2 linked regions of the Stegostoma tigrinum genome follow. The protein of the gene in region 1 interacts with the protein of each later gene in a pairwise test. Links are inferred from orthologs where the notes say so. Each region holds a gene or a part of one and is shown in the gene's direction. Other genes may lie near its edges.

Region 1 (7,052 bases):
TTAAGAGCAGTTTGAGCTTGTCCAACTTATGTATCTCCATCTCTACAGATTTCTAATGACTCCTTCTATGCTCTGTGACTGTGTCACGGTTTGCTTCCTTAAACTTCATTCCCTTGGTCTCAAGGAAAGATGTACATTTAATTGACATACTAACTGGTACAGGCATATACCAGTAATCCTAACTGTGGAAAGATCTTTTTCTTCCTCTCTTTGGAGATACACTTTCATTTTACAGACATCTTTCTACATGCTGATAATAAGCAACACCTTCTGTTACAATGTTTGCTCTTAAACTGATAAAGAAAGACTAAAAACCATGGATTCAAGACTGAAGCTTGAGGTGTTGGGATTGTATTCATTAGACATTAGGGTTTAGAAGGTTGAGGGGAGATCTAATAGAAACTTACAAGATAATGTATGGCTTAGAAAGGGTGGACGCTGGAAGTTGTTTCCGTTAGGCAGAGAGGCTAGGACCCATGGGCACAGCCTTAGAATTAGAGGGGGTAAATTTAAAATGGAAATGAGGAGATATTTCTTCAGCCAGAGAGTGGTGGGCTTGTGGAATTCATTGCCACAGATTGCAGTGGAGGCCGGGACGTTAGATGCCTTCAAGGCAGAGATCGATAAATTCTTGATCTCACAAGGAATCAAGGGCTACCGGGAGAGTGCAGGGAAGTGGAGTTGAAATGCCCATCAGCCATGATTTAAATGGCGGAGTGGACTCGATGGGCCAAATGGCCTTACTTCCACTCCTATGTCTTATGGTCTTATGTTTCACTGTTAAAATGGCAAATTTGTTTGTAATTCACAAAGGAGTCAATTTTGTTGACCGATTATGTTGGAAGAGTTCAGCATTTTGGTATCAGTCCCATCACACTGCCATGTTGGTAGCCGTAATGACCTCCAAAACAATGAAGCATCTTGACATATCTGGCTGTATGTTTGCTTCTTAGCTTAATAGCTTTTGTTTGACTCAGATAAAGAAAGGCATGTCTCAGTTAATGAGACACCCTTGAGACTGTGACCTTGATGGGTTGTCTTCTATCCCTGAGAAGGAATAGACTTGAGTAGAGAGATGTTTTGACTTTAATTTAGACTAAATTGGAACTTATAGTCTCTAAACCTAATTGGAAAATTTAGTGGAGTGAGTGTTTATGTGAGATTAAGGTTGATAAAGATAATTTATCTGAAAATCTTTGACGCCAACAGCAAGTAGTAGATACCTGATTAAAAAAAAAATCAAAGGCTTAAGGGAGAGTTGTCTCTATCATAGCTTTCCATGCTTGCTCAATTCAAAGATGTTATAGAAAGAAAGTCAAGTGACCTGTAAGGTATTATGTTTCTTGCTATGTACTAAGTAAAGTCCTCTGATCTGAATCCTATTCTTTTTGGCTAAGTCCAAGTTACATTGAGTTCTTCGCTCACCTGTGCTCTCACCTCTCAGCTTGCACCCCACCAATCCTGAATGACTTCTCTTCATCCATTGCAGCACTCCCAGTAAAACTGTGGTCAGTGCCATTCATTGCACAGTACTTCTAATCACTGGTTATGACACCTTCTCTCTCTTATGTTTTGCAGGTACCACCCAGCATGTCCATAACTCCTGGACCTCTGAGAAACGAGTACCAAGGCCTCAAAAGAAGCATCAGCAACGTGCTTTAAGCATCCCACATGAGCTCAGTTACTGACACCTCAGTGGGAATGTAAGGCTTCGTGAGTGTGGGACTACATGCTGGTGGGCATCTCACTGTGGAATATCCACAGCTGGCCAAGCAAGAAATGCCCTAAACACACTGGCACTCAAAGGACATCTTTACCCTGTTCTCTCCAAGAATGCTTGCAGCCATTTTCTTCTCTATTGCAATCATCATTTAGATTTCCTGCACAATGAAAGATGACAATAAGTAATGTTCAACCACTGACTTACAACCACTGTCTCAATGTCAGTGAGTTCCAAACATATAAATTCTCTTCCAGATAGTCTATGAAGTTTACAGGAAGGACTTTGTCCTTCCAGATTCCCACTCAACCCATGTACATGCATCTGCATCTGCCTTCCTTTGCCCCACAGCTCTTGACTAAAAGTGCCAGGCCCCCCACATCTATTGCAGTTAGGGTGCTTCTGACCGTGGACAGACTGCCATTCCACCTGAACCCCTTCCCATTCATATTTTACTGTATACCTCCCATGCAGACTGAGTCGACCTCCTTCACATTGTCATTCCACCTACCCACCAATCTCCCCCACCTCCCCCCAACCCTTCCCCACCTCTACCCCATCCTTCCCCCAGGCAGTAGCTCCCAGTCCTAGAGACAATTTCCCAAGTCTCATTCCTGTGGCATAGCCCCTTTCGTCTTAGAATCTGCACACAGAGTCAATGGACTGGCCATATCCTGATCCTTGAGTGACTCAATTGGACAGCCCAAAACAAAAATTGCCCACACCCCTGACTGACAAATGTACATTTCCCCAGCTGCATTAGCCGTAAACCCAGACTGTCCACTATGGAGTTACAGAACTGACCGTGACACACTCTCTGGACTGCAGAGTCATGGGCTCCTGATCAAGATCACCTGAGCAGATGCCTGACAGTGGTCAATTCCCTTGACAGATATGTGAGGCTACCTACTGTGTTAGGAGCCGTGACTGATGAGTTCGTTGATTGTCTTCATTGAGGACTACTTCTCCAAGGCTTCAAGACATGGCTACTTGCATGTTGGCTGCATAAGCTGTTGGCACATAGTGAAGGCATGAGATTGCTGGAGCACTCTACCATGTAGCACAATATATACCTCTTGATGAGAACTGTGAACTAGCAAAGTAAGCCAGCTGGTTGTGTGATTGTGCTAATTGGGACAGCAAGGCAAGGCATAGCTATTGTGAGCAAGCAGGTAGGCTCTAATTAAGCAAAAGCAAAGAAACCCACCAAGTACCCGGTTCCGTCTGTGAACTGGTTACTTATCCCTGTGCACAAAATGTCCCATCAGCTGTGTTTTAATGCAAATTGCCAGTGTGCTCTGTAATGTAAATCTGTGCTTCCAGCAGAGCATCCTGCCAGTGTATTGGAGAGGTGCCATAATGGTTATGAAGGGTTGGCAAAAACACCGAATGCCATTGTCTAAGAATGAGAGATACATATGGCTGGTGCTTTTGGATCATTCCTGAGCTGCAGTTTGTTCAAATGCAAATTGGAGATTGTTCAGAGTAAGTGGTGAGCTGACTATACCAGATACCCACTCTTGTTTTCACTTTGAGTCTTCTCAAAATTTACTTTGTCCGGTAAGATAGAAAGCTGAAATTTAAGAAAGCAGTTTAACAAGCTGCAATCTCCTTTAATCGGCAACTCTCCACCAGCTCGTGGGAACCTTCTCATGCTACTTGTGAGAAGATGAGCCTCACTGGGCCTCTTGTCTGATTCTGCCAGAAATCTTGCCATTGTCCTTATTGCTTAGACTTTCTTTAAAACTCTGCCCTTTCACGCTGAAGGTGACATTGCTTTCCCTCAGACAGTTGTTGTAGGCTTGAAGGAGGGTTCCCTGCAGTGTTTCAGTATTTGCTGGTGGTCTCCAGAACTGTTGTAATGGTTATTGCACAGCAAAGTAATCCCAAACCCATCTACCTCAGGAAGCATTAGGAAAACAAAACATTCCTTCTTTTGTGAAATAACAGAGACCAGAAAGGTGGAGATCTGTGATTCCATCCTGATAACCTTAAACACAGGTGAAGCATTGATATTTACCAACATCTTTTGAAATATATGCCTTCAACTTCTTAAAGCGTACTTTTAATATTTAAGTAAAAGTTTGCAAATACTTTTTTATGAAATGGTGTTTCTGTCCACAATCACTATTCTTTAACATTCTTCATAATTTACATAATACAACTTTGCCTCAGGTATAAGTTACAATATTAAACAACTCTAAATCTAACAAGAATTTGATTTTGTTTCGACTTAGGGGATCGTTTTCTTGTTTTTACATTCGCGGCCAGAATTACGGCGAACTATGTCATTACCCCTTTAAAAAAATCTGTGAAGCACAAAGTCTACAGTGTACTGGGGTCTGAAAGACGTGTTATGATCGCGGTGCCCAGCTATCTTTAGCCTCATTTTACACGCAGTTTGCTTTTGAAATAGGTCTTGGGACGATATTCTTAGATTGGAAGAATTGCGGAGAAAAAGAAAGAACAAAATTGCACAATTACGGCGATAAAATAACAACTTTGAAGGACATTTTGCAACTTGCAGTGTGTGCAATGGAGAAAGTCCGATTCTTAACCGGAGCGGCTGCCAGACTCTTGTAATCATTAACTTGACAAAAGGAACTCGCAAGGGTATATACGGAGCAGAAGAAGTCAAAGCGGTGGGAAAGCCTTCGGTCGTTTTCAACAAGGAGCGCAACATGCAGGGACCCACTCTCTGGGCTGTGTGCGCCTTCGTCGGCATCTTCAATTTGGGCAAGTACAAAAATGCCTTTCAGTTTGATGCAAACTTTGGGTTGTAACCTGAGGCTGGCCAAGAAAGTCGATAATGTTCCGGCTGTTTGGAGAGGGATGTATGACTGAATTCAAGTAGACTGTGTCAAAATAATTAGAGCCAAAATGATTTGAGGTAGTTTATGTGTTTAAGGTGTGGGATTGTTCGCCAATACGTATCGTGTGAATTGTGAAAAACTCACATTGCTAAACTTTCTGTCCTTTGCCATTGCGTGTATTTTCAACCTTAGCCTGATGTTGCCCGGGACCACTGCATATTCAGGAGGAAAACTGGAGTGAATCAAATTCTGAGAATCTGTAGTAGAAGGAGAAATATATCGCAAATCAATCGGGCGAGTTTTCACTCGATTGCCAGGGATTCGGATGCAGGCTCGCGATTATCATTGGATTGACAGACATCGACTCATTCTACATCTGAAAATCAAGGCGTACCACACGTAATCCACCAAATCGACCAGCAGAGTCTCATTGCATCTTGAATAAAACACGAGGAATTTGGACAAATAGCCATCAGTATTGTTAATCCAAATGTTACTGTTTGACAATGTGGAATCCAAACTATCACTGTCACTAAAGCACTTAAGATTACTACCCCTACCTCTCCCCCCCCCCCCCCCCCGCGCCCGCCAATCCACACACTTCAATTTCCAGTGATCAGCCATTAAGAAATTCCAGGCTGGAGGCGAAAAACTGAATTTTGGCTTTGAAACATCAAGCACAAAAAAAATGTTTTCTAAAAACCATCTTGCGTCTGTGTTCAAAATTCTATAAGCTGCTTGCTACTGTTAGGTTTTGATTAATTCGATGTAAACGCAAATCCATTTGATTAAATTAGATGAAATTTCCACAAAGATTTCAAGGGAAATTTAGTGGAAATGAAAAGTAGACAATCTGTATAATTGGTGACCATTCCACGGTGCCAGTTTCGTGCCCAGGCGGCAGGCAGTATACTTTCTTTCACAACCTGAGGAGAAGCTGACTCGGAGGATTCTGTATGCCTCTGCTGGCCAGTTCTTGCAGATTTGCATCAATACTTCAAATAAGCTTTACAGTTGTCTTTGTTCAATGTATTTTCTTTAACCTGGACAACAACAAATGAATTCTATGCTCGTTCTTCATGATTGTTGCAGAATTCTTTGAAGACCGGAGATCTGATGGATTCGATAGTTGCAGAATTTAAGCATATGTTGAGTCAGATGCAGACGTAGACTATCAAATCTTCAAATCCCCCGGCATTATTTTGCCAGAGAATAAGATGCATATTCACCATTACATTCTAAGACAGTGGCTCCCAAAACGAGGAATATGTACCCCTGTAGGTGCAGCTGATGTCTCTAAGGGGTACTTTGCCCTTATTTGTGTCATTGTGGACTCTCATGGATAGGAGGTTTTCCCACCTTTTACAAGCCTTCCATTCTCTCAGTCAGTTTTCCAAATGCAGCTCACTGTCATTGGTGCTTACGGTGGCACTGCCATACATCAGCCATTTGCTTGCAGTTTCCCACAGTTGCAGGTTCTCTCTTACATATGCTACTAATAGCGACACCAGCGAGGTACAGTTGTGTCTTTTAGTAATACAAGTTGGAGAGAAACAATCTGTGATCAGTAGAGCAGAGATGGTGGTTAAGTGAGTGACAGGGCATGAGTGTATGTGCTGGTGTGGTGGTACTATTGGTAAATGCAAGAGCAGTATCTGTTGGTCCAAATACACTCCAAGTAGGTGAGGTCAGCTGATTTCTGCGTGCACACTGCCAAAGCAGTCAACGTGATCAAACTATTTCAAGTTACAAAGTGAATGGGGTAAGGGAATTTGCCAAATGGGGCTGCTGAATGAGTGGGCAAGAGGAAAGTTTGGGAAGAGGATGTTGAGTAAGTGAGCGTGGGTCTTTGGAAAGTGAGGTTGTTGAGGAGTGAGTGCAGAAAAAATGGGCTGGCAGATGTAGGCGGCTGAACGGCCTCCTCCTGTTACCATTTGGTTTGGTCTAATGGAAGAGTGGCAGCTGTTCATAGGTGTAGGAGATGGAGGTGAGATTCAGACTTAGCCCTAGTCTAGCAGAGATTTAAAAGCACATCATTTAGTCTGATTCGATTTAAAACCCTTCAGTTCATTACAATGCTGCCAAGAATTCAGAATGCAGTGAACGCAGACCCTTATTTATTGTTCAGCAGCCAACTATACACCTTCAGGGACCTTTGTCAGGGCATGGTGGTTGTCTAGAGGTGTGTTTAACCCTAAACACGGTTTCTGAATTTTAATTAAATTATTTAAATAAATATGGAAAAATCTAGGATCAGAATATTGATGCTACTTACTAGCTATAAAATTCCATCGCGCCCAGTTATATCTTTTACAGAAGGAAATTCACTGGTCTGCCAAACCTGGTATACATGTTCAGTATTGTGGTTGACAATTAACTGCCTTCTGAAATGCAAGTCACTCTATTGTCACCACACTCTTCTGGTTGACCAGACTAGATACAGCCTTGCCAGTACTCTGCTAGACTCACAATTAGACTTGCTCAAGCAAAAGCATCACTAAATTGCTGCAGACTTGAAC
Region 2 (6,974 bases), on another chromosome or scaffold:
GGTATTATCACTAGATGATTAGTCTAGAGATTCTGGGGACCCAGGTTTGAATCCTGCCATGGCAGATAGAGTCACAGAGATGTACAGCACAGAAACAGATCTTTCAGTCCAAATCATCATGCCGACCAAATATTCTAAATTAATCTAACCCCATTTGCCAGTATTTGGCCCATATCCCTCTAAACCCTGATAATAAAATGTGAGGCTGGATGAACACAGCAGGCCAAGCAGCATCTCAGGAGATTTTGTGCTCCTGAGATGCTGCTTGGCCTGCTGTGTTCATCCAGCCTCACATTTTATTATCTTGGAATTCTCCAGCATCTGCAGTTCCCATTATCCCTCCCTCTAAACCCTTCCTGTTCGTATACTCATCCAGATGCCTTTTAAATGTTGTAATTGTACCAGCCTCCACAGCTTCCTCTGGCGGCTGATTCCATTTATGCACCACCCTCTGTGTGAAAAAGTTGCCCCTTAGGTCCCTTTTAAATCTTTCCCCTATCACCTTAAGCCTCTAATTTTTGACTCCCCCACCCCAGGAAAAGACCTTGTATACTTATCCCTATCCATGCTCCTCATGATTTTATAAAGGTCACCCTCAGCCTCTGACACTCCAGGAAAAATAATCTCAGTCTATCCAAACCCTCTTTATAACCCAAACTCTCAAACCCTGCAAAATCATTGTAAATCTTTTCTGAACCTTTCAAGTTTCACAATATCCTTCCTGAAGCATGGAGACCAAAATTGCACACAGTATTCCAGTAGTGGCCTAAACAATCTGCTGTACAGCCGCAACATGACCTCCCAACTCCTATACGCAATGCACTGACCAATAAAGGCGAGCATACCAAATACCTTCTTCACTATCCTGTCTACCTGTGACTCCACTATCAAGGAACAATGAACCTGCAGTCCAAGATCTCTTTGTTCAGCAACACTCCCCAGGATCTAACCATTAAGTGTATACACCCTGGGAGCATTACAGGAGCAGAAAAGTTGATGTTTCAGGCCGGGACCCTTCTTCAAAAACTGCCATCCTTACCTGGTCTGGCCTACATGTGACTACAGGCCCACAAAAATGTGGTTGACTCTTAACTGCTCTCTGGGCAATTAGAGACAGGCAATAAATGGCAGCCTAGCCATATGCTGTGATTGAATAAATAAAACTTGAAAGAAGTCTGTGGTATTCTTCAGATTACTGAAGAAGGATCCTGACCTGAAGCATCAACTTTCCTGCTCCGCTGATACAGCCTGGCCTGCTGTGTCCCTTCAGCTCCACACTGTGTTATCTCTGACTCCAGCATCAGCAGTTCTTACTATCTCTAGGTGTATAAACCCCAGCCTGATGTGCCTTTCCAAAATACAGCATCTCATATTTATCTAAATTAAACTCCATCTGCCACTCCTCAGCCCATTGGCTCATCTAATCATGATCCTGTTGTACTCTGAAGTAATTTCTTCTTTGTTGACTACACCTCAAATTTTGGTGCCATCTGCAAACTTACTTACCATATCTCCTATGTTCACATCCAAATCAGTTATATAAATGACAAAAAGCAATGGACCCAGCACTGATCCTTCTGACACACTGATGGTCACGTATCCAGTCTGAAAAGCAACCCTCCACCATCTCTCTGATGGAACCTGAAATTATGCTTTCGAAGAATTCTGGTATTATGAGTCTAATGATGAGTATTGTCAGTTGTTGGAAAAACCCATCTGGTTCGCTGACGTCCTTTAGGGAAGGAAACTGCCATCCCTACCCTCTCTGGCCTACATGTGACGATAGGTGGTTGACTCTTAACTGCCCTCTGGATAATTAGGCACGGGCAATAAATGCCAGCCTGGCCATATCCTGTGATTGAATATGTAAAACTTGGAAGTAGCCTGTGGTATTAATATTCACTGCAGCTGACAGAGTGGGGATTGTAAAGCAACCAATAATGTCTGCTTGGTGTTGCTGAGCTAAATGAGATTTCAGGGAAAGACAGAAGTAAAGGTTTAGCTCTGTGAAACTAGCTGCCAACAGAAGTACGAGTTATGTCTGTGAATATGCACTGGATTGCAGTTTCTGAGCCTACGTCAGCAAAGACATAGATGGTCGATCAGAACAAAGCCAGACACAGAGAGTGGGTGATGTAATATTTCTTGAGTGGGAATTTCTGCACGAGTAAAAATTTGTAATCTCTAGTGAAGTACAATGAGATTTCATAACCTGCCGTGTCATTGACATTTTGGGGGAAGTTACTGAGAAATCTGTGGGATCTGCTTTGATCATAATTGCTATTCCTTGTGCACCAGGGGGTCGTGCAATCACAGTATATCCCTCATGTTTAACACATGTGTCTAGAGTGCCACAGACCAAGGAGCCTGTGGGCTGTGGCCAGGTGTTGGAATACAGGACAGTTTTGTGATGGATGCAACAGACAACACTTGCCACACAACCTGTTTGCTTTCTGTGAGTTGTCAAACGTCAATACAGTTTGCTACACCTCATGCTTGCAGGTGCTGTTGTCTGGCCACGATGTCGTCATATTTTCTGTCACTAATAGCAATGAACTAATGCTGTTATCTTTTCCAAGAGGTCTCTTTGGAACACTTCAGATCGTGTGGGAGCAGTCTGTTATCTGCTTTCACAATTGCTGATTAGTTATATCTGTTCCCCTTATTCTGATATCCTCTGACAAAATTGATCAACAAATTCATGAGGGTCTTGCCTTTAGGGCATCAATTCAAAGCAATGAATTTTTAACTTGATTCCCACGTACAACTGATCTTCTGGTGCTGTCCATTTTTATGTGGGATCTTTCTAGTCCTTCTCAGATGAACTCCAGGCATTGACTTTGTACAACCCATTACTACCAACTGCAATGAAAATGTTCACATCTGGCCTAACAAATTCTACAGCTACTTTGTCTCTGAGCATTCTTTGATTAAAAGGGTTGAATTTGAAGGAGAGATCCGTGGCTTTCCAGTTTGTGGTGGGGGATTTGGTATTGATTCTTCTGGGGAAATGGACAGTAAAATGACCCTGAACTTCTAGTTGCCTGCCACCTCAATGCACCACCATATTCCCTGGGAAAAAATGTCTATGTGGGGCTGGCTGCAGTGTTCCAGTGAACCTCACTGTAAACTGAAAGAACAACATCTCGTTTTCCAGTTGGGGAACCTTCAGCCTCCAGGCTTCAATAATTTTAAAGTCTGATTCCGTCCTGCCATTCAGGGCATGAGTTGCTTTAGCACAACTCAACCCATTCTCTCACACCCTCAGCTCTCATCTTCACTTATTCAGCTGCTCTTCAGTCCTGGCTTATTATCAGTAATCTCCTCGTCTGCCTATCCCTGTCATATCTCTTTTTCTCCCTGAGCTCCATCTCCAACTATCCACTCATCTCTCTCTGCTCAGCAACCCCCAACAAGTACCACCCACCCCGCTACCCGACCACACCACATTCCCAATCCCCTGCAGTTCTGAGGAATGGTCACCGCACCCGAATTGTTAACTCTGATTTTTTTTCTTCACAGATGCTGCCAGACCTGCTGAGCTTTTCCAACAATTTTCTGTTTGTGTTCCTGATTTACAGCATCCGCATTTCTTTCGGTTTTTATCTAAAGGAGAGGACTAAGTAAATATTCAGTGTAAAAAAAACTGAAATCCCTGATCTGCGGTTCTACATCAGACAAATTGAATAGCTCTTTCAGAGTAACAGAACAAACACCATGGGCCGAACGACCTTCTTTAACTCGAATGCGGGCAGAGCCATTGTAAGGTGAGTTTGAAACTGCACACCTTTCCCCACTCGCATTACTTGAAATATGATCATTTTAAAGCTCTATTGACCTATTTTTTCCAAATCAGGCTGACCAGCGATAATATTACTGGCGGAGTATGTAGGAGTTGAACCGAGGACTCCGCGTCTTAAGTGGGTGGGAGTCTCGCACTATCACTGCGTCACTTTGAAACTTCGTTGATAGTGCTCTGCTCATGTGTTCGGTTTCCACGAATTCTGCTCCATGCTCCGCCCCAGTAACCTTGGGAACAGCCTCGCTGGGCGGATGGTGCACCCAGCATTTAAAGACTGGTTCCGACTTTATCTGCATTCCACATCGTTCATCACTCAGCCGGAGTTCCGTACGCAGCATCAGGAAAATCTCCGGGGCACAAGCTTGTCTATCTGATTGCAAGTTCTGTCGCAGGATCATTTCGGTTTAAGGAAACGCTTCGTCAGCTGTAAGTAGGTCAGCAACTTTTCCGCACTTATCTATCCTGTTTAGGAATTGCGTTCATGTGAGACTGTGGGGAGGGGGCAGATTTTGTAAGGACTGGAACAAAATTGCTGGAAAAGCCCAGCAGGTCCGGCAGCATCTGCGAAAGAAAAACACGAGTTAACGTTTCTAGCATGTCTAAAAACATAGCGATAGAGTCATGCAGCATGGAAACATGCCATTAGGCCACCATGTCTATATCGACTATCAAACACCAAACCAAAGTGATTCTATTTACGTGCATTATTATATAGTATGCCCTGGCATTGTAAATGCTTTTCCAGATGCTTCTTAAATGTGTGGCAGTGTGGATGGATTTTGGAGGCACGTTGACCCATAGAATAGGGAGATATCCTCAAAGGGATGAGAGAGATGGGTGAACTGCCCATCCAATGGATGAAACAGACACAGAAGCAACAGAGACAGTGCCTCTGTAGCCTCTGTCTGTTAGGATCCCAAATTGTGCTCTGGCGTTCAGTTTGTAAGAATTTCTGTTGGAGCAATTTTTATCCAACTTCCTGTTTTTCCTGATAAAAATAAAACAGGTTGCCTGTGCTAGATTCTTGGTAAGGAACTTGCTGGTTGCACTGAGAAGAGAAAGCAATGGAACTGCAGACGATTGCATTGAAATCATTCACGTCAGACTGGCTGACAAAAGAAAGATCTCTCCAGCTCGATCTGAATGGGTACAGCATTTTCCCCCATGACCAAAAGTCAGGGTGACTTAATTTTGCACCTGATATGTTTGAAATCCTTCACATCTAATACAGAAACAAGACTATTCCAGGGATCAAAAGTAAAAACAGTGTTCATTATTTAACCCCCTTAGTTTGTGTAGTATTAAGTTGTAATTGTCATCAGCAAAAATTTTATTGGGACAGCATTGGTTTCATACAATTCAAATGTGTACCTCAGTTAAAAATTTAAAGGAAATATATTTTCCAGAAAATTCTTAGATAGTAGGGAATGGAGGAAACATTGATATTGCACATCCTCTGTCCCTGAAGATTAACTGGTACTCATCCAGAAAGAGCACCATGGATAACAATAACCTGGTCTAATATTGAAGTCTAGCATGATTCCTGTCATATCCCTGCCTACATCAGTGACATAATTATTTGACACAACTAACCAACAACAACTTGTTTAATGTGTCACCTTTAACATAATAAAACTCCTCAAAATTCTTCACAGGAATGAATATAAGTCACATATTTGATATGGAACTATGTAAGATCATATTAGGATAGGTGACCAGATATCCTAGATGGGTATGCAGATTTTGAGATCAGTTTTAAGAGAAAGAATGAAAGGTTTAGGGGCAGAAGTGCAGAATTTAGTCAAATTGAAAGCATGAAATGGGAAGTGATGCAAACTGGGAATGCTCAAGAGGCCAAATTTCGGAAGGTTGCAGGGCTGGAGGAGGTTGCCAAGAAGAGGAGAAATCATGGAGGTATTAGAAAATAAGAATTCAATCTTTGGCTTGCAATTAAGTAATGTACAGTGATTCTCTCTGCCAGCAACATTTTATATATTTATGCTCCTCGGGTGTAATCAAACCTCTTGACAAAAATTTGACTGAGCCAATTGTAGGATCCTGATAAAAATCCAGTGTTCATGTGAAAGATTATGACACATTTACATAGAAACTTGTATTGCGCTTGATCCTGACAGGTTGAAACATGCCAAACTACAAGTTGACCTACTTTAAAATAAGAGGGCGAGCTGAGACTGCTCGTTATATTTTTGCATACAGTGGAATAAACTACCAAGACAACACCATTGACATAATGGATTGGCCTAATATAAAAAAATGTAAGTAGCACACTTTGCAAAGAACATTTGCAAGCTTTGGAAGAATAAATTATTTTCATTTTCCTTTTTTGGTTTTGCCCATTGTCTTGTCAAATCCCATGAATGGAAATTAAATTTGGAAGATGCTGTGCAATTCTGGTCTGCCCTGTATAGAGTGACTTTATATCAGAACTTAAGTTTAAATAGTTGTTTGATATTAGGACTCTGCTTTGATTTAATCAGTTGGTAGGGCCAAAGAGCAGGTAAGTTTTGAACTCTGTGCCAGCTGAACAATTAAAGGGAGATTAATGCTGGGAAACTGAGTTCTTTCCTCACACGATATGCACTCTCTTGCTTTGTTGGTTTACTCCTGGTTTTCAACAAAAATTCCCACTACTAAAGATACATTCTAATACTTCTCATTTGAGAAATCATGAAACTGATACAGGTTAAATTATGAATGCATTGGATAAAGTAGACATGGAGAGTGTTTCACACGTCAGCTCGCATGTAGGGACCCTATACTTAATAACAGTAACAAAGACAGGAGGGAAATAAGGAAAAATTATACTGTAATTGGTTAGAATGTGGAATGCGCATTGCACATTCTGCTGTACTGCACACAAAACAAAACTTTTCTCTGTACTTGGGTACATGGGACAAAAATCAAATCAAATCAAATGTGCGTCAATGGAAAGGTTATAAGATTAATTACTTAGATACTTTCAAAAGAAAACTAGATGTGGGGATGTGATGGCCTCGTGGTATTACCACTAGACCTTTTAATACAAAGACTCAGCTCATGTTGTGGGGACCTGAGTTCAAATCCAGCCATGCCAGATGGTGGAAATTGAAATTTAAAAAATAACTCTGAATTAAGACTCCAATTATGACTATGAAACTGTTGTTGATTGTTG

What was found.
Region 2: the proteins of meltf (region 1) and hematopoietic prostaglandin D synthase-like interact in binary tests that used the Homo sapiens proteins (3 or more experiments, as listed by UniProt). The two-hybrid records come from large-scale screens. The link is inferred for Stegostoma tigrinum from reciprocal best matches to the Homo sapiens genes MELTF and HPGDS.

The regions. Positions count from the first base shown.
Region 1 is NC_081367.1:52,325,803-52,332,854, forward strand, and holds the start of meltf (melanotransferrin), read left to right. Parts: upstream 1-4,043; 5' UTR 4,044-4,401; coding exon 4,402-4,456; intron 4,457-7,052. UniProt on the Homo sapiens protein: Involved in iron cellular uptake. Seems to be internalized and then recycled back to the cell membrane. Binds a single atom of iron per subunit. Could also bind zinc.
Region 2 is NC_081354.1:7,139,771-7,146,744, forward strand, and holds the start of hematopoietic prostaglandin D synthase-like, read left to right. Parts: upstream 1-3,973; 5' UTR 3,974-4,236; intron 4,237-5,937; 5' UTR 5,938-5,945; coding exon 5,946-6,078; intron 6,079-6,974. UniProt on the Homo sapiens protein: Bifunctional enzyme which catalyzes both the conversion of PGH2 to PGD2, a prostaglandin involved in smooth muscle contraction/relaxation and a potent inhibitor of platelet aggregation, and the conjugation of glutathione with a wide range of aryl halides and organic isothiocyanates.